2 linked regions of the Lytechinus pictus genome follow. The protein of the gene in region 1 interacts with the protein of each later gene in a pairwise test. Links are inferred from orthologs where the notes say so. Each region holds a gene or a part of one and is shown on either strand. Other genes may lie near its edges.

Region 1 (10,249 bases):
GGAATATGGGCCACTGTGTCAAATGTTTACTCAGTAAAATGATGTACATTAAAAACAAGTTGAATGCCTCTGGCGGTCTCACCTGCATCACGCGATTCAATGTAGCAGCAGTGCTGACTTTGAAAACTACTATCAAATAATTATTCACAAAATACACCATTCATATATAATGAAACAATACTACATTCATTGACATTTGACCTTGATCATGTGACCTAAAACTTGTCAGTGAAAGTTGATTACCCCTATATCCACATTTTATACACTATATAAAATTTGAAAGTAATGACAGCAATCTAATAATTACCTCTAAAATGGCCAAAGTTCAATGACCTTACATGACCTTTGACCTTGATCATGTGACGCGAAACTTGCACAGGATGTTCAGTGATACTTGATTACTCTTATGTCCAAGTTTCATGAATCAGATCCATAAACTTTCAAAGTTATGATGGTAATTCAACAGATACCCCATTATGGCCAAAGTTCATTGACCTTTGACCTTGGTCATGTGACCTGAAATGCGCACAGGATGTTCAGTGATACTTGATTACTCTTATGTCCAAGTTTTATGCACTAGACCAATAAACTTTCAAAGTTATGATGGTAATTCAACAAATACCCCCAACTTGGCCAAAGTTCATTGACCTTAAATGACCTTTGACCTTAATCATGTGACCTGAAACTTGCACAGGACGTTCAGCGATACTAGATTACTCTTATGTCCAAGTTTCATGAATCAGATCCATAAACTTTCAAAGTTATGATGGTAATTCAACAGATACCCCCAATTTGGCCCAAGTTCATTGACCCTATAAAATGACCTTTGACCTTGGTCATGTGATGTGAAACTAAGGCAGGATGTTCAGTAATACTTGATTAACCTTATGTCCAAGTTTCATGAACTAGGTTAATATATTTTCTAAGTTATGATGACATTTAAAAAACTTAACCTTAGGTTAAGATTTGGTGTTGACGCCGCCGCCGCCGTCGGAAAAGCGGCGCCTATAGTCTCACTCTGCTATAGATGCAGGTGAGACAAAAACCTCTTCAGTAATAATATACATGTGATAAATCTATATCTGCTTCTCGAAAACTTACCTTTTCTACATAGTAGCCAGTCCCTATATCTATTAATACATTATTGACATCTTGCAATTTGCCTGGTACATAGAGCTGTGTAAGTTTAGAGTCAAGGAATAATTTTCACAAAACCAAAAGAATGTGAAATGACAGAGAAAACAATAATACAATATCCAAATTATCATATAGGGGTGGGTGGAAGGTTGTATGATGATGAAAATAACAGTTGAGCTATTGGAAGAAAAAAAAACGTCTTTCATCTGCATGGACTCTTTTTTTTTTGTTGTTGGCAGAATAGGAGCACATCTCTATAAATAATCACAACCCTCTCACTTTTAGAAATAACTATTTTCAATTTGAAAAAGAGTTTTGACTTCTACTCTTTATTCAAAAGATTTGTATACCTTGCAAAATATAGTGAATATATTCCTGACTGATAGCCCTGCCCCCAAAGAGCACATTGTACATAACTTTGATTCTCAAATCAAATTGAGCATGCATTATTCAAAAGTATGATTTAACTCTTCACTAAATAGTCCTATACCTAGACTAAAAAATTACTCACACACAAAAAAAAGATTGATAAGATAAAGGATACAGATGATGTTAGTGGAACCAGCATCTCTTTTCCTGTAGAATAGAAGATATCAATCAAAATTTAGAATTTATCCAGTTATATACACATCTACTTGTTTAGTCCATAGATGTGTACATTAACCTATTCAGTTTATTTTCATACACATAATGAATGCTAGCAATCACATAGAATATACATGTAATGAGAAAGAGAAAACTGGCTACATTTCCAGAGCAGGTAGAGTAATCATTACACTCTGAATAGGCAATATGATGATTTCTTCTAATGAAGATTTAGGATGTGAGATTCAAGAAATATTTTTCATTTCTATCTTTTTTTACCTTTATACCCCCAAATCTAATCAGATCACCACAGTAGCATACACAGGATTTTTTAAGGGGGGGGGGGGTTCAAGCTGAATGAAATGTTGACACCCCCCCAAAAAAAAAGGGGGTCTTCACCACCAATTTCAGGTCCTTTCGTACCTCAAAAAAATTGGACAAGCAAAAAAAATAATAAAATTTTAGGGGGGAGGTTGAATTCTTAGGAGGGGGGTTTCGGGTATCAAAAAAAATCAAGGGGGGTTGAACCCTTGTAACCACCCCCTGCGTACACTTCTGGATCACCAGGCTCCTACACATCCATGAGCCAAGTTTCAGGTTGATCCATCCAATGGTTTTCTTTTGGTTATCGCGAAAGTAAAATTTGGATAGACGGACAACCCGAAAACAAAACACCTCCAGCACAGCCCAAAATGGGCGGAGGCATAAATAAATAACCCCACATGATCTTTGACAGATTTCAGCACAATGGAATTCTCTACCGATGGCTTTACAAAATATTACCCAGCTTGAGCAATTCAAAGTACAATTAAAGACCCAACTCTTTCAGAATGTTTAACTAAGTTAGGTTCAATCTATGTTTTAATATTCTTTGATGTTTATAATATAGAAAGTGGAGGATGTGCACACATTGTGTGCAGGAATGACTGATTGAATCCGATGACCGGGGTAGACACGTCGTTCCGATTAAGCGCCATATAAAAGCGGATTATTATTATTATTAATTATTATTATTTGATATTTGATTTTAAATCTACAATTCTAACCATATTTCCTGCTTTCCTCACACGCAGAGAACTGTAGGTGTTATGCGTCTATTAAGAACTGTACTATTATTATTATTATTTCTATTTTCAGCTCACCTTCATTATCAGAATTTAATTTGCCTATGCTTTCTGATGATTCCATAAACCGAGACTGGGCCATCTTGAGCTGCTGCAAGGAACCCTGCATCATCTCCACCTCCTGCAATAGAAAGAGAGACAAATATAAATTTCTCTTTTTCTCTTTAAGGGTGCCAAGTCATGAATTGAATCTTACCAATTGCAGTGCAGTGAGTGCACCATTTCATAAAAGTTGCTATGATAAAAAGTCTTGCTGGAATGTCAACTACCATGACAACATTGAAAGTTTTGCTTTTTGATTGACTCTTCCAATGAAAGGTGATATTCCAGCACGAGTTGCTATCATAAGCCACTTTTTTATGAAATGAGGCCCAGTGGGTGTTTCACAAATATTTGAGTGTGACTAGAAGTCACACTCAAATTCATAGTTGAATGCTGTATAAAACACATTGTTAGACAAATCTGCTCAGAGGAATTGCACTACTGCACATTAATCAAGGAGATTGAGTGTAAAATATCAATTGTTCCTCGACACTAAGCAAGTCAAGCTTAAGTCTTGTAAGACACCTTTCCCCCCCTGGAATGACAACAGTGCTTTTAAAAACCAATCCAGGGCCATCAACTGTCATGGTCAGGGATCACGTTGATACCCTGTTGACTGGCTATGATGACCCTCTCATTGGCCCTTTCTCCTCTGAAACATCTTCTATAAAATGTGGCCTTGCTCTACAGAGCATCTCAAAAAATTACACACTGCTGATGTCAACATGACGGTTAAAATGGAGCACTAAAAATGCAATTCATGTTCACTCATGCATTAATTTCAATTTAATAATTCATGAAATTTACTCAAACAACCAAAACTGATCATGATTGATCATTAATTTACCACAACACCCTCAACTTTGCGAGTTCCAAAGGAATCGCCTACCAATAACCACTCACACGTATTGCGAGGTTAGTATTAGTATACTAACCTCGCACCACGAACCGCGTTTGGCAGTGGATTTCTAACTAGTGGGTCGCGCGTGCTGGGATCTCACTTCTTGGGTCCACAACACACGACTTCTATGGCTTGATTTTTCTGTGCGCGGTGACATGTAATGAACCCTTGGGTGACCAATAACTGGCCTCAGTCAAGTACGACTATACTCTGTAAAGAGGACTGTAATAAACGGAAGAAGAAGAAATTGGAAGGCTAATTCCAGCCAAGCCTAATTTTCTTGCCCTTTATTTAAGTGGGCATTGGTCACTCAAGCATGAATAGATTTGCTACTTTTTGGTGTCATTTGAAAGTTGACATTATTTGCTTTCCATCTAGAGCTCTATAAAACTTTTCCCCCAAAGTGATATATTTTTATGTGGCAGCCATTTCAAAAATTTCAGACGCACTGTATATACCTGTTACAAGATTACTTCAAACTGGTAAAATCAAATGATTTAATTCAGTGTGGATCCCCCCTTTTCGACGATGATCTTTAAGACAGTCAATTAGACTTTAATCTCTGCGATGAGGGCACCCAATTCCATTGTGGTGGCAAAATAAATATGCCCACAAGTTTTGGTCAAAGGGTATGTATGGTAAGCACAAATAAGGAAAGGATTTCACAATAGCAATGCGTAAATTAATAGGATCAAGGGCATTGAGGCACCGCCACCGGGAAGAGCCCAGCACACACACAGTGTCACAGCCACAGGACACAGGGCCCCGGCGAGCTATGAATAGTTACCGAAAGCATGATTTGACCAATAAATTCATGTTTATCAGACATTAGTTCATTTAGTTTTAAGCTGTTCAAATATTCTCCCCCCCCCCAACAAATGCTTTCACCACTCAGTCATATTCATAGCAAACCACGCACAATCAATGTGTCATCAACGGTGATTTAACTCCTGTATAATTCCAATTAATCTATCACAAAATTGTGAATATCCCTATTGAATATGTGTGTATTAGAATTGCATGCGTCAGTTATCGCATTGGCCTTTTTGCGAGTAAGTGCTTGTTCAAGTCAGTAAAAAAAAATTGAAAGTTTACCTGATCTAACTGTTCTTTAAGACCATTTAGCTGTGGAATCGGAAGCTGCATTAGGTCCACTTGCTGTCCTCCTTCAGACATGGTTACTTCTTTGATCGCAACTCGTAAAAAAAACTGTAACACTAAGTCAGTACCAAAGTGACTGAAACTGAAAGTGAAACTGTGACTACACTCCCAACTCAACTTCAAAGTTGCAATCCGCGCACGAGTCGTGAGAGATGTCTAACTACGAAAGCCGGACAAACTAAACGCACAAATATGGCAGAAAACAGTGCTAAATCCGAAACTGTGAAGTCCAGAAAGGAGCGTAGAATGCAGTAAGTAACAACATATTTTAAGTATTTTTCCAAGCCTCAGTCATCATCAAGTCAAGGCATTTTGACACAGCATCATCACCGATCATGATTTTTCCAAAAAATAATCCAGGCACCACATATTGAATTTTGTGTAAGTAAGGACATGTAAAAATTGTAATTTAATTTAACATAATGCAAGCAATGCCAATGCAATGGCAATGTTGATGGTGTTTCCTGCATTGCATAGTTTACGTATATTCAAAAAGCATTATTAATATGTTTAAAAATGGGAATATTTTAGTTGTTGTAATGTTAGTGTAACGTTTTTCCATTCTTCCTCAAGTTTTCAACTTCAAGAAATAATGAAATGTCATGTCGCACTATATAAGCTTTTGACTCCGTGCCTCACCAGCGGCTCATGAATAAACTTGAGTCATATGGTATTACAGGTTGTATCAAGACCTGGAAACACGACTGCATAAGTAATTGCATTTTTCCAGTAGATCCAGTAATAAAGGTAATAATCCTGGCCGTAGTCGTAGACAGTTTTGCACCAGCCGACTTTGAGAGAATTTCCCCACCATATTAAGTTAACATTAAAAGTCAGATCTAATAATTTGCAAATTAGCAAGTCTCTCAATCACACCTAATGTACCTAGCGCTTTTAAGAATATCGCGATCGGGAACGTCTGTATTTCGGTTAGATCTCGACGAGGTCATTGTCAAATTCTCATTCAGACATCACTTTGCTTGAATTGGTTTCACGGTAGTTTTTTTATGGAATGAAATTAGCGTCCAGAAGATCAGCCTGCGGCCGCTCACCTGTTTGTTCACAGCATAATGGCATAATTTTGGTCACTAACTTCAGACCATATAAATATAATAGGGGAATCCCACTCCAAGCGAAGCGATGTCTTGACTGAGAATTTGACGTCGAGATCGAAGCCGAAATACAGCTGTTCCCGATCACGATAATCAGAAAAGTGGTGGGTTTATTGACCTTGAAATGTGATTGAGAGACTTGCTATGACATGTGCGAACAATCTGATTGGGAAATCCTTGTGAAGTCAGCCGGTGCGAAACTGCATTAGCATTGGCCATTCCGACTCCTGAAGCTAGTCAACACTTTTGTTTTGGTAGATATTTTTTGTAAAATTCAAGTCAGTTAACTATTAGGCCTACCCTTTTTTAATACATCTATACAGATTACAGTTCATTGTGTGATTTAACTGAATTGATTTTGTAAAGTTTCCTAAATAAAAATACTTTTTTTAAATTGAAGATGGTGGAGTGAGCATCAGCCACAGCAGAATGAACAAGATAAACAAGGTGATTCCACAGGCAAGTCATAATTTGATGATTCATATTAATTCAATACCCTTATTTTAATACCCCCCCCCCACCCCTTCCCATACTGATGAAGAAATGTATACGTAAGTAAAATGGAAACTTGAGCAGAGACTGGTCTTTAAAAAAATTTGAAAGTGAAGCCAGTTATATTTTTCTTTTGGCAGGTACCAGTATTTTGAGCCCTAAAACTGGTGAACTTATGAAAATTTTATATGATTTGTCTGCTTAATGTTTTGTTTGCATTAATAGGAAATACCGAATTATGATTTTACCATGCCATCAGGTTTTTATAACATTTTATCCAATATTTGTCAGTTTATAGTGTAATTAATTAATTTGAAATAATGTATTTCACCCTTAGGATCAAGTTCAGCAGCTGTGAAGCCTCCAGTAAAAACAGAGAGTGTGGATGCCCTGGAAACCCAGGGGAAGAAGTCAGGAAAGACCTCAGGAAAAACCTCAACCAAGAAGTTTTATGTGCTCTTTGTTGGTCAGATTCCATACAGTGCTACAACAGAGGATATAACCAAACACTTCTCTAAAGCTGGTAAGAAAGCATCGTTGTAGCGGAGTCGTCTAAGGTGCCTGACTACACCATTGCAGTCCGGAGTATGATTCCCGGCACGGCCGCAAAAAAGACATGTTATCTCTAATGCTGTTTTATCTTGCATCAAATAAATGATAATGCAATGTGTTAGTAATACCAGCATGTGCACTTAAAAGGAAAAAGATTGGACATTGCCTGAAAAGCTCAATTGAAGGGTTTGGAGGGGGGGGGGGGGGTAGTTAGTTAGATATTTTTTTGAGTTCTTGTAGTGTGTCCCATTGAAGTAATGTCTGAATGATGTAATAATTGAATTTTTAGTAAAGGAGGATATTCAAAATCATAGCAATATAGAATTTGGATTACATGGCTGGCTTAAATAATGTTTCATATTTGTCATTTTCACACGGCAGGTGAATTGAAGTCTGTGAGGTTAGCAACACACAAAGACACTGGTAAATCTAGAGGATTTGGCTACATTGAATTTAAAAACAACAAATCATACATGGTGAGTTGAATATCTATTCCCTTGATAACAATGAATATCAGTTCTACTGTGGGGTACATTATTTCACGACATGTTTTATGTCATTCAATTCATTTAAAGCTCAGTTCGAGTTCTGGTTTAGAATTATTGATGGAAAATGGTTGGAAACAATCCTTAAGTGTTTATCGTATGCCAGAATGCTTATTTACAACAACATTTTTAACAATTCTAGCTTGCTTGAAATGAATTCATTACCACATGCGTTTCATGGTGTAGCTAACACAGGAAACAACATTTGAGACCACACTGTATATAAACAGCATTTTTCAATATTTTTGTGATCTTCCTTTGCTCATTACTCTGTAATTATATGTTTTCCTGAAAAAATGTTCGGCAGATATCATTTGTTTATTTTTGTATAATTCTGTTTAAGTTTTGTTCAAATTCTGTGAACACTTTATTTTCTGTTGTTACCAGTATCAGAGTTTATGAAACACAGTATCAACGTTCTTTTAATATTCCATTTATTCTTTTGAAGTGGTCTGGCGAGAATATATTACGTTAAATCTCTGTTTGCATTTCCCAATTTTCATTGGTTTCAGGTTGTTTATTCTGGGAGATACAAAACTATCCAAAGATGAATTAACCTTGATATGATCTGAAAAAAATATTGTCACATTGGTATGCTACATAAATTTTTTTGTCTGCTTTTCAGAGTGCGTTAGCAATGCATTTGAGTAAACTTCACGGGAGACCCATCAACGTTGAGATCACCTCTCCAGGACGTGGTACCAGTCTCTTCAGGAAGGAAAACCTGAAGCGTAAGAACGAGGAGATGGCTCGTTTTCGTGGACTCAAGGAAGGAGACGCTGCAGGTGGCGCTATGTGCATACCATCGTCCAAACCACACCCTGGTAACAAGAAACAGAAGTTCAATAAAGGCAAGAGGTGACCTTTGAAACGGTGTCGTCATGGACAATAGACTCTATTTGGAAGAATCATTGTGGAGTTACGACCTGAGCTGTCATGGCTTAAGCTGCATGGTCATGAAAATGATATTGGAATTATCTGCACATTGAAACTTCAATGAATAGCCAATATTGGCTATTGCTTCAGGAAATATTTTAAAGAATGGGGAATATTAATGTTTCAGACATAAAATTGAAGTAAAGCAACATGGCGTAGAACAAAGACATTATAAAAAAAGGCTCTGACCCATTTCTAGATGAAACCATATTGTGCAAATTTTTTAGAGATTTAAAAATCAAATGATTCTTTCAGGAAAATAACTATTAGAATACTAATGTCAACATCAGAATTAATGGCAAGCAGTTAATATACAGTGATGGCCGAATATGCGGGAAACCAGTGTGTTGGCTCAGTTGGTAGAGCGTCTGTCTCACAACCAGGAGGTCGGGAATTTAAATCCCGGTCGCGTCAGACCAAAAGATGTTTAAGTATGTGCTGCTACCCTGTTTGCCGTTTAATGATTAAAGGGATAGAGCCTCATCGATATGGCTGCACAGCAGCTGCCGGGCTCATGATTAATTGGGCAAAGCAAATTTTCAGAGTATTTCATTTCATGTCTATTTAAAAAAATAAAAATTGGGATGGATTTTTTTTTTAAGCGTAGTGAATGGTTCAATTATTTTTATGTTCTAAAATGAATTTGCTTTAATACATGTGAAGAGGAATAAAATATTAAAAATCATCAATTAAGTTTTAATACGACCATTCAGAACTTTGGACAGGAGTTTGCTCCGTATTTTTATCTTCTCATCAATTGATATGTTTAATTCCAAATTTGGATTGTTGACCAATCATAAGGGGTGTTGGCTTCAATCTAACTCTCCAGGGTCAAAGGGGAAGGGTCACATTCAGTGGTCAATCCTAAAAAAACTCCTTCTGAGTCTCTCTTCCAATTCATCATTGTCCAGTGGCAGGCCAAGCGGGGTAGGACACAACACCATTACAGGAGTAGTATTTTTTGTAAAGAATAGTCAGCCCCTCAAAATCTATTGTGTCTCAGCCGTCTGGATCTACCCCATGATGTGTTTATCTCGGCCAAAGCTGCAGAAAATATTGAATGTGATCATTGTTTGATATTTATTGATCATGGTGGACATTGTAATAACTGATCGTGATAGTAGGGCTGGTGAAATTCAAATCTTGCTATCATACATTACTTGAAGCTTGATACAAAATACATATATTGGGATTCCAGTTCATGTGTAACAAAGTGTGTTTACCTTCTGGGGGTGTTTCACATAGATTTATGTTTGACTAATATTCCTACTTAAATGTGAACTGATCAATGCGGTGATGCGATATACCAGTATACAACACATAACTGGGACTGCATTTTTCAGTCAGACTTAAATCTTTGTAAAGCACTCCTTAAATATCAAAAGTTTTAAGATTCTTTGCCAGTGTCAAGCCGAGGGTGAAATGTGGGTCAACTTGGGAGATTCCATGGAACAGTGATTTTCACCCACTATTGTTATAAGCTAGCAAAATCCTTGCATTTGATTGGTTCAAAGCAAATTTGTTGGTGAATATGACTATTTGTTTCATGGAAAAAACTCCCTAGGTCTCTAAGCAGAGTTTACAAGCATCAATATTTAATTTCCATGAAAAGTGATGGACAAATCACAACATGTAACTATTTTGTAGAATTCTACTGAACTC
Region 2 (10,232 bases), on another chromosome or scaffold:
CTAATTGCTTTCTTAAGCCAACAGCATTTTGGTATTCTGAAACAAAACACAAATCATATAGAATTGAATAAATTTTATGTCACTTTGTGTTCTTTACCTTAGCTTCTAAGGTACAGGTCAAGTCCACCCAAACAAGTTGGAAAAGAAGTGTAGGGTTACTCCGAGAAAAAGGTCACCCTAGAAGACAAATGTCATCTTCATATTAAAGGAGAATGAAACCCTTGAAACCAGCTGAATCCATATCAAAAAGAAAAATCAAAGAAACATATTGTTGAAAGTTTGAGGAAGATTGAATGAATAATAAGAAAGTTATGAGCATTTGAATATTGAGATCACTAATGCCATGTAGTTCCTCCCATTGGCAATGCGACCAAGATCTGTGATGTCACACACGTACAACTCCCTCATTACTTTAGTACTTATTTCACTTATATTCTCACTTTTATAGAGTCTATCACCGAGGTGAGGTGTTCTCTTTATGAGAGGACAAGTACAGAGATTTCACAACATTATATCATTGATGAATCGTTTGTCATATGATTAGAATGAGCAAAAAGAGATGTTTGGGGGGATATTTTCAGTGTCCAAAAGGGGAGAGTTGTTCATCTGTGACATCATAGATCTTGGTCACATTGCCAATGGGAGGATCTCCATAGCTTTAGTGATCTCGACATTCAAATGCTCATAACTCTTCTATTGCTAGTCCTATTTTACTCAAACTTTTGTTGATCTTATTTTTTTATTTTTCTGCTTTCACAAAGGCTAACTTGCTCCAAGAGTTTCATTTTCCTTTAAGAAGATATCTTTGGTAGAATAAGAAAGCCTCGGCTAAATTTCATCAAAAATAATTTTATGTTATGAAAATTTATGCTAATTTGGAGCTCCTAAATGCATAATTGGTAAAATGGGCATTATGTATGGGACAATTATAAAAACTCAAAGAAAATCAAAACTTCTGAGATTTAATCATAGGTGGGACATGGACTCTCAACATCTTATTACTTTTTGGGGAAAGAACTTACTTAATTTAATATGCAAATTAGATCAGTCTTGTCACATGATGGAATGTCCCTACGTAACATTTTAAGGACTTTTAAAAATATATTTCTCAGAATACAGTTCATGTATTGTTACATCTCTAGGGAGTTCTAATTTATTGAGTAAGAATATATTATACCACAACAAGTTTCAATAATATCTAAAAAAAATTAATTAGAAGTTACATATGGGACATGTTATGTAGGGGACAATTGTACACAAGTCAATGTCAATGGGGAAATTTGTGTAAAAAGTGAATATAACTTAATAGAACATTTTAAAAGAAAAAAAATCATTTATTATTTCCATATTTGAAATTATTTGAATATGGAGAAAATTGTGTACATCCTCTATGGGGACTAAATGTCCCATACATAATATGTGATTAATTTGATTAATTAAAGTCTGTAATTAGAGGGTTTTGAATTATGACATGAAACTTGCCTAATGATATACAGTACTCGAGTGTTGTGACCTTTATCACACTGAGTTACAAGTTGTAAAATGAAATACTTTTAGCAAATTCTGAACTTGAAAAAAATGTTTTAAAAATTGTCTTTTTTCTGCATTCCATACGTAACGGCACATTGTCTCTCTAAAAGGTAAAGGCCATGTGTCACCATTTTTTACACGATCATTCTTCTCTTAGATATCAACAATCATAGGGTATTCAATATAATCAAAGTCCTTTTTATTTTTGAGGTCATTACATCCTCTGAAATGTCTGTACATGTACGCCATACATGTACATAACATGTGCAAGTTCTTGGACTTGCACTGTAACGTCGACAATTTTATCAAAAGAATATATATTTAATATGAAAATTATGACATTTTATATGTTGCTTCTTTTCACAGAACAGTGATAACCAACCAAAAAATTACTTTCTTTTTAAGAGGGCTATTTTTAGAACCCCCCCCCCCCCCCCCCCGAAAAATAGCCACCCTTAATGTATTTTACGATGGCTATTTTGGAGCTCATGGGTTGTCTGTTTCAAGATTTTAACCTACTTAAATTTCAAGCAAAGTCAAACATAATAGTCTACATTTAGATCATTGCTGACATTCAGTTTCAGCCACCCATGAAATATTCATTATCACTTATTTACATAATACTTATTAAATGCAGGCATGAAAGTGAGTTTTCTAAATTAAAACAAAAACATTTTTTTGTAGAGTCTCAGTCAGGAAGAAGGAAAAAGGAAGGAAAGAAGGAAAGGACAACTGAATGAATGTGAAAGAAGGAGAGAAATAAATAAATGAAGAAATAATAAAAAAAAGGATAGAGGAAAGAAAAACAACAAAAAAATGAAAGAATGAACGTACAAAAAAAAGGAAAATAAAAGAAAGAAGGAAAGAAACTAAAGAAGAGTAAATAGAAGAATGAAGGAAAGTATGGGAGTAAGATGAGGGGAAAAAAGAAAGGAAAGAAAGAGGAGAGAAAATAAAGAAAAAAAAAGACAAAGGAAAATTAAAAAAAATAACAGAAAGAATGAATAGAAGAATGAAGGAATGCAAAAAAAGAAAAGAAGAATGAACAGAAGAAAGTAGGGGAAAAAGTAGTGGGAAAAAGAAAAGAAAGAAAAAGAGAATGAATGAAAGTAGGAAAGAAAAAAGGAAAAGAAAAGAAAGAAGGAAAGAAACTGATCGAAGAAAGAATGAATAGGAGAATGAAGGACAATATGGGAGAAAGATGAGAAAACAAAGGAAAGAAAGAAGATAAAAAAAAGATGAAGGAAAAAAAGAAAGAAAAAATGAAGGAATGCAGGAAAGAACTGGAAATTTGACATGTCCAAAGGACACAGATGCCCCCGCTTAACGTGATCAAAAATTCATTCATTACAATTGAACTTAATATCGTGCAGAAACCATGGATATATAATATAATGAACAAATTTAGACCTTTGAACCAACTGTGACCTTTGACCTGCGGACTCCGAATTAGAACATATTCTGTATTTTGGTGTCATCTACCTACACTGTATTGTACACACCAAATTTTTTTTAATTCCATAGAATTATACTAAAATTTAATACGTGATTATAAATAATAATTATTATTATTGATAATCACGTATTAAATTTTAGTATTTGTTGAATAATAATTTTATCTATAAATTGTTCTTCAAAACGGCATTTTGTAACATTGCTAATCGAAGGTACATCATAACGAAGCGGTTCACGGGTCAGACCTATTGTATTTGCTTTGTTGACAAACGGATAGAGGGATCTACACGAGATCGGTCTGGTAAGAAACCTTCAATTTTTAACCTTTTTATTAACCAATTAAGGCGTATGAAGGTGTGAAATAAAGAAAATCACAAACATTTGTGATTTTTTATCTTAAATTTTAAAAGATACATTTCCTGGACCTAGGGCCAGGCAAATCCATCTGTTTTGTTGAGTCTCTTATAGTTATACATATATGGCAGGCGGTTCAAGGCTCCATGAAGAAGTATTTGTCAAAATATTAAAAAATACCATCATGGAGTCCTCAAGGCTAGAAGAGACCTACCTCGGGCGATGTTCGTGCAGGCTCCACTCCACTTCACTACCGCTACACTCCGCTCCACCTACCCGAACATCGGGACCGTGAACCATTTCGGATATACCGAGTCACAAAGGTGGGATGGCAATCATGATAATCGTAAAAATTAAAATAAAAAAATATAACAAAAAAGATGATTGACTTAATATCTTACTCTACACCCGTATTTCACTCCGTTTCCATCCTCCTGTTATCCTCAAAATTTGTGATTTTGGGCCAGTATCAAATTCCTCACACGTATGCTATCATATTAGGATCAGGTCCACTCGATATGCATTTTGAAATCGGCCGTGAATAATACGTGTGAGGAATTTGATAGTGGCCCAAAATCACAAATTTTGATGATAACCGGAGGATGGAAACGGAGTGAAATACGGGTGTACTGTAGAGTAAGATATTAACTATTAAGTCAATCATCTTTTTCGTTATATTTTTTATGTTTAATTTTTACGATTATTAATATGATTGCCATCCCACCTTTGTGACTCGGGATATCCGAAAATGGTTCACGGTCCCGATGTTCGGGTAGGTGGAGCGGAGTGTAACGGTAGTGAAGTGGAGCCTGCACGAACATCGCCCGAGGTAGAAGAGACCCTGTCCCTAATAATACAAAAAAGGAGAGTGCAGTTAACTTAAAGGCTACCGGCAGGGAAAACACGTGGCCATTGATATACCGATCCATGCAATTTCATCGCACTTATTTCAGACGGGAAAAATCACAATTCTGTGATTGCTTCATTCGAATTGCACAGGAATCAAGTCCCAGTGTTAGGCCTACATCGGCTACATCTATGGATCGCGGAAAGTCTGTGCGATCATGCGATACCGTGGCGTGAGGTTACTGCAACTAACTCCGTGTCGTGCCCGTGGTGGGGCATGTTTTGTCATTAAATAGTGTCCGGAGAAATATGGGAATTCGTTCCTAATATGAGACAATAATACACACCCTTCTCTGATGCCTTGAACTTCTCTAGCTCCTCTTGAAGTTTTTTCTGGAGGGCTTCGTTGGCCATAGTGAAATTTACCGGTCAACCCCTTGCGCTTGCCAAATATATCGCACGAAGTATATAGTATATATAGTACCGGTACCGTAATTAAACTCGTCCAAATACGATTTCGTGCCTTTTTTTTTCGCCACATATAATATATGTTACTAAAAAAAAATTAAGATATTGTATTGATGTGTTGAATGAAATCAATAATAATCACTTTTTTTTTTAATCAAGTGCATAATACTTTTATATCTACGATGCTGTGTAGGTATGACTATGAGCAGTGCAGTGGCGTAATGAGCATATTATTTACAAAAATCCAAATTTGTGAAAGGTCTTTCCAGACAGAAGTTGAGACCCAGTGGAGAGAGAGAGAGAGAGGGAGAGGGGGATGGAGGAGGAGGGGGAAGTAATCTCATCCTATCTAATGAAATGTGATAAAGTTTATTTAGATGTAATTTTTATAACAAGTTTGAAATATAAGGATGAAAATAAAAAGATGGATTTCATGAATAACATGGTCAACAATAATTTCATATACAAAAATGATATTATTATTGCTATGAAAATGATGATAATGGTTATCATTATCATCTCCATCTGGATAACAGAATAAAAAGAAGAGAGAAGAAAAAGAAGAATAATTAGAAGAAGAAGTAGAAGAAGAAAGGAGAAGAGGAAAAGGAAAAAGAAATTAAGAGATATACTGAGAAAGAAAAACAAGAAAGAAAGTAGGAAAGGAAGTTGGAACATAATGATGAATGAAAAAAAAGAATAACGGTAATAAATGGAATAATAATGAAAAGAGTGATGTCGCACCTTTGAATTTTATGATAACAACCGTGCTTCCCTGAAGAAGGTCTGTTGCATCATACGTATGGAGCAGCCGTATAGCTTACCAAAGAGATGGAGAAAAGACCATGCAGGAACAACATCAGCTGTTCAAGCAAATCCTTGGCCTCCCTCTCCCTAAAACAACAGCAGATGGGGTTGCTTTTCTTCTCACTGGGCTCCTTCCTCTTAGTTCTCAAGTTGACCTTGAGAAGCTCCTCCTGATTGGATCAAGCATTGGATCTCCCCCACAATAGATTTGAGTATAGGACTCTATACATTCTGTAGCCAAGACCATCCCCACCATCACATCCTCAAGTATACTGTCTCCCTGACCTTCATCCTCTTCTGCTCAAACCCATCTCCTACATCACCTGCAGGAAGAAGAAGTCAAATAGGGCAGTTACGAACAAGGTTGAGGTACTGGCTGCACTGGCGGATCCAGGTTTGACAATTTTTTTTTCGTGGACGAAATCCCCTTAATTTTTGGTTAGAATCATTTTTATCTTTCCTTTTTGTGCTTGTCAAATTTTTCCTCGCGAAAATATGCCCCCCTCATTTTTTGAAAAATCCTGGATCCGCCCCTGACGGGCTGCTATTCAGTCAAAATCTACTCTTTTGCTGTGGAGGAACATCTATACCAGCGTCTAGTGCACTACTATATACCCCAGCTCCAGTAGCTCCCATGCAGTTTCTAAGAAGAGCTGTTGTTATCAAGTAGTTTGATTTGATTTGATTTATTGATTTCCGTTTCCCAATTGTACATAATATGATAAACATAACATAACAAGGTCGAAAATACTACAGGACATAAAATATATATATATAACATAATCATAGATTTAAGGAACACAATTCAATAAATAAAGTTATCTCAAATGACATTTGTATTTAAAAGTAAAACGTAGAGACTTGCCGAAAAAAGCATAGCTTGTACAAGTGGCAAGCCCCTATTTTAGTTACATTACAAAATTACAACAAATAAATATTGGGTCGTAATAATATATAGAAATTTTGTTTAAAAATAAATACAAACAATTTTTGTGCACTTGACAAAAGCGTAACTGATGGATCGTGTGAGAAAATATTATATGTTTTACAATATTATAAGAGAGAGGGGGGGGGGGGTGAGGGGGAGAAGACAGGAGGGACAGAGGAGTGCAGTATACACTAAGTAGAAAGAAAGAAGAAATAAGGCTGGCAGGAATTGCAATTTTAAAGGGATGGTCCGAGCTGAAAGTATTTATAGCTTAATAAATAGAGTAGAATTCACTGAGCAAAATGCCAAAAATTTCATCAAAATCGGATAACAAATAATAAAATTATTGAATTTTAAAGTTTAGCAATATTTGGGGGAAAACAGTCGTCATGAATATTCATTAGGTGGGCTGATGATGTCACATCTCCACTTGTTCTTTTGTATTTTATTATATGAAATGAGGTTTATTCAAATTTTTTCCTCTAAGAAGTAGAAAAATTGGAATGACAACTGATATAGTGCATTAGATATTTATTGCTGCAACTTATTTCATTATAAGGGAGACATATTATTCACACATGCAAGTATGAAATAATGAAAAAAAAATTATGATTTTATGTAATAACATACGAAAACAGAAAGTGGAGATGTGACATCATCAGCCCACCTAATGAATATTCATGACGACTGTTTTCACAAAATATTGCTAAGCTTTAAACTTCAAAAACTTTATTATTTGTTATCCGATTTTGATGACATTTTCGGCATTTTGCTCAGTGAATTTTACTATATTTATTAAGATATAAATATTTTCAGCCCGGACCATCCCTTTAAGAAGAAAAGAATAATAAAACAAATAATATACATGACTATGTATATAATATGAACGCATATAATACGAATATACACAAAAGTCGAGTATAATTAAATTAGTTATTCAGCTTGACCTGTTTGCAACGAGTATTGCAGAATTAACATTTTTTCTGTTTGCGTTTATTCTTTGAAATCTTGAGGCAGAGAGTTCCAGGAGGCAGGCCAGGAAAGACAAATGAGTTTTTTGCACGTAAAGTTCTTGTTAAAGGACAAGTCCACCCCAACAAAAAGCTGATTTGAATAGAAAGAGAAAAATCAAACATGAATAATGCTGAAAACTTCATCAAAATCGGATGTAAAATAATAAAGTTATGACATTTTAAAGTTTCGCTTATTTTTAACAAAATAGTTATATGAACGAGCCAGTTACTTCCAAATGAGAGAGTCGATGATGTCACTCACTCACTATTTCTTTTGTTTTTTATTGTTTGAATTATACAATATTTCAATTTTTACGAATTTGACAATTAGGACCCCCTTGCTTGAACCACAAAATGTTAAAATAATGGTATTCCATGTGTTCAGGGAAGAATTAAACTTGTTTCACATGAAAGTGACGAGAAAATCAAAATATTTCATATTTCATAAAATAAAATACAAAAGAAATAGTGAGTGGGTGATGTCATCGGTTCCCTCATTTGCATACCAAACAGGGTGTGCATATAACTGTTTTGTGAAATTAAGCGAAACTTTAAAATGTCATAACTTTCTTATTTTACATCCGATTTTGATGAAATTTTCAGTGTTATGCTTGTTTGATTTTTCTCTTTCTATTCAAATCAGCATTTTGTTGGGATGGACTTGTCCTTTAAAGGAAGGTGATAATATTGTCGTTGCCTTGTTGGGTAGCAGTGTACGGATGCATTTTACGGAACATGAGTGAGTCGATCCGACCATCCAACCTTATAGTGCAGGCTCATTTTGATAAAGAAGGCTATACTTCTCACATTTTTGTCGCTATGTCATTAAGGTGATGAAGACACCATATAAATACTTCATATAGCTATATAGCTGCATGCCATGACTTGTGTCTGACACTCAGCGTGATGAACTCAAAGTGGGAGTGAGAAAATATTAGGCCTTCCTGCATCGATCTGCTCCCTATTCGAACTGCATTAAGTCCATTTAATTACCTGTCCATCGAAGACTATCTTCCCGGCTAGAGGGTGGTATAGGTTCGAATCCTAGCCATGATGGCGTGTTTTCCTTCAGCAAGAAAATCGAAACGGGTGAGGTGAATGGGTACCCGGCAGGATTAAAAATGCACGAGCGCTGAAAGGCAGCTCGAGCTAATTAAGACCGGGGTAATAATAATAACAATGCGCCTCGAAATAGATTTTCGAAATAGTTTTCTTGCATCCAAAACACCACTCTTTTTGGTATAGAGGTCTTATAATAATAATAAATGAAATAAATACATAGAAATAGAATAAAATAAAATTACAAGTTAAAAAAAAAGATAAGATTAAAAAAAATGGTCCCCGGATTTTTTTTTTTTTTTTTTGGGGGGGGGGGGTTGCAACCCCCCAACCCCCCCTCTAGATCCGCTTCTGATGACGCTATACAAATGCATATCATTATTATTAATCATTATTATTTTGTTCCCAGATTTTTTTAAAAATCCCATGGGGATATTTTTCTAGTTATCCTAGAGGGTCCTGCATGAAGGGTACTTGGAGTTGTCCCGGGGCCTAATTGCTTGTCCTGGAGCAGTGGAGAGCTCATGCAATAATTGTCCTGCTGGGGGTAGTTGTCCTAAACCGGGATATTTTTATTGGGGGGGGGCCTTTTTGTTATCCAGAGTCGTCCGAATGGTAGCCATCTGGGGTATAGTTGTCGGACCCCGGGAAGGGGCAGTCAAAATGTATTGCTGTACACACGCGTGGCCAAATTAATTCTAAACACCCCCTAAACGAGTTTTTTTTCTGTGTGCAAAATAACCCTCTAAACAAGTTGTCACCAGAATATGACCCCGGGGAAATAGCTTGGGGAAAAACATACCCTAAACACGTTTGGCAATATATACAGGCTTAAAAAAAGCTTTGGAAAAAAGCATACCTAAATACGTTTGACCCTGCGATTGACCAGTCTTTCAAAACGGTGTTTTTGATACCTTTAATGAGTGCACGCACGGCCCGCGTCCAAAATTGAGAAAAAACACCCTCAGTAATGTTAAGCCCCTTGCTTCCCTCCCATTCGCGACCACCTTGCAATTTGTGACAGTCGCGGAATAGTCAGCAGGCCTGTGCCTGTGGAAGCAAAAAATTCTAGGGGGACCACTAAAATTTATTGACAAGCAAAAGAGAGAGAGAAAAAAAAAAGGTTATCAAAAAAAATTTAGGGGGGACGCAGGAAACAAAATTGACAAGCAAAAAAAAAAGTTGTCAACAAAAAATTAGGGGGGGGTCGTCCCCCCCCCCGCTTCCGCCGCCTATGGGCACAGACCATGATTGAAACTTTGATCAACAAGTGGGTCTCCACGCAAAGACTATAGAGCATACAAAACATGCTGTTTCTGTGCCTTTAGTACTCAAAGCATTATTAAGTAGGCTGCACGATCAGACCCTTATAAAACGAGTATAAGGGTTTGCACAGCAGACTAGTCGCGTAAAGGTAAAATATATATCAGGCGACTTATTTTTGGTAGAATCATCTCTTGGCGATTTTCAAAGGCCGGTACGGTCGCGACGAACTGCGCGCGCGCGTACGTACGTCTTTGGTCGATCTAAATGGCCCAGGCCGGCCCAATGCACGTCAATATGCACTAACGGTACGGTCAATGCACTAACGTTAGTCTTACGTCGCCGTCGACGTCTCTCTCGATTTCTTTGACCTGCCAAATTTCGGGAATCGGGGCTAAATATTTGAGCTGGACCTAGACCTAGTTCGGAGGGAGAGAATGGCATTCCCTGGCAAACAGTAAGTCTCTGAAAAATAGATCTGACTGTGCTGAGCTGAGTGTGAGATTCTG

The links. The genes of interacting proteins can lie anywhere in the genome.
Region 2: the proteins of prefoldin subunit 5-like (region 1) and prefoldin subunit 6-like interact in a two-hybrid assay, tested with the Caenorhabditis elegans proteins (2 studies listed by BioGRID). The link is inferred for Lytechinus pictus from reciprocal best matches to the Caenorhabditis elegans genes pfd-5 and pfd-6.

Annotation. Positions count from the first base shown.
Region 1 is NC_087247.1:32,560,188-32,570,436, forward strand, and holds the start of prefoldin subunit 5-like, read right to left. Parts: upstream 5,318-10,249; 5' UTR 5,202-5,317; coding exon of another isoform or gene 5,143-5,201; 5' UTR 4,966-5,142; coding exon 4,885-4,965; exon of another isoform or gene 4,520-4,884; intron 2,968-4,519; coding exon 2,865-2,967; intron 1,714-2,864; coding exon 1,682-1,713; intron 1,177-1,681; coding exon 1,102-1,176; intron 1-1,101. Other genes in the region: uncharacterized protein LOC129257427, read left to right, coding at 5,143-5,201, 6,463-6,521, 6,892-7,077, 7,488-7,582, 8,277-8,513. UniProt on the Caenorhabditis elegans protein: Binds specifically to cytosolic chaperonin (c-CPN) and transfers target proteins to it. Binds to nascent polypeptide chain and promotes folding in an environment in which there are many competing pathways for nonnative proteins.
Region 2 is NC_087246.1:9,063,363-9,073,594, reverse strand, and holds the start of prefoldin subunit 6-like, read right to left. Parts: upstream 4,689-10,232; 5' UTR 4,600-4,688; coding exon 4,533-4,599; intron 37-4,532; coding exon 1-36. Other genes in the region: nuclear speckle splicing regulatory protein 1-like, read left to right, coding at 10,161-10,180. UniProt on the Caenorhabditis elegans protein: Binds specifically to cytosolic chaperonin (c-CPN) and transfers target proteins to it. Binds to nascent polypeptide chain and promotes folding in an environment in which there are many competing pathways for nonnative proteins.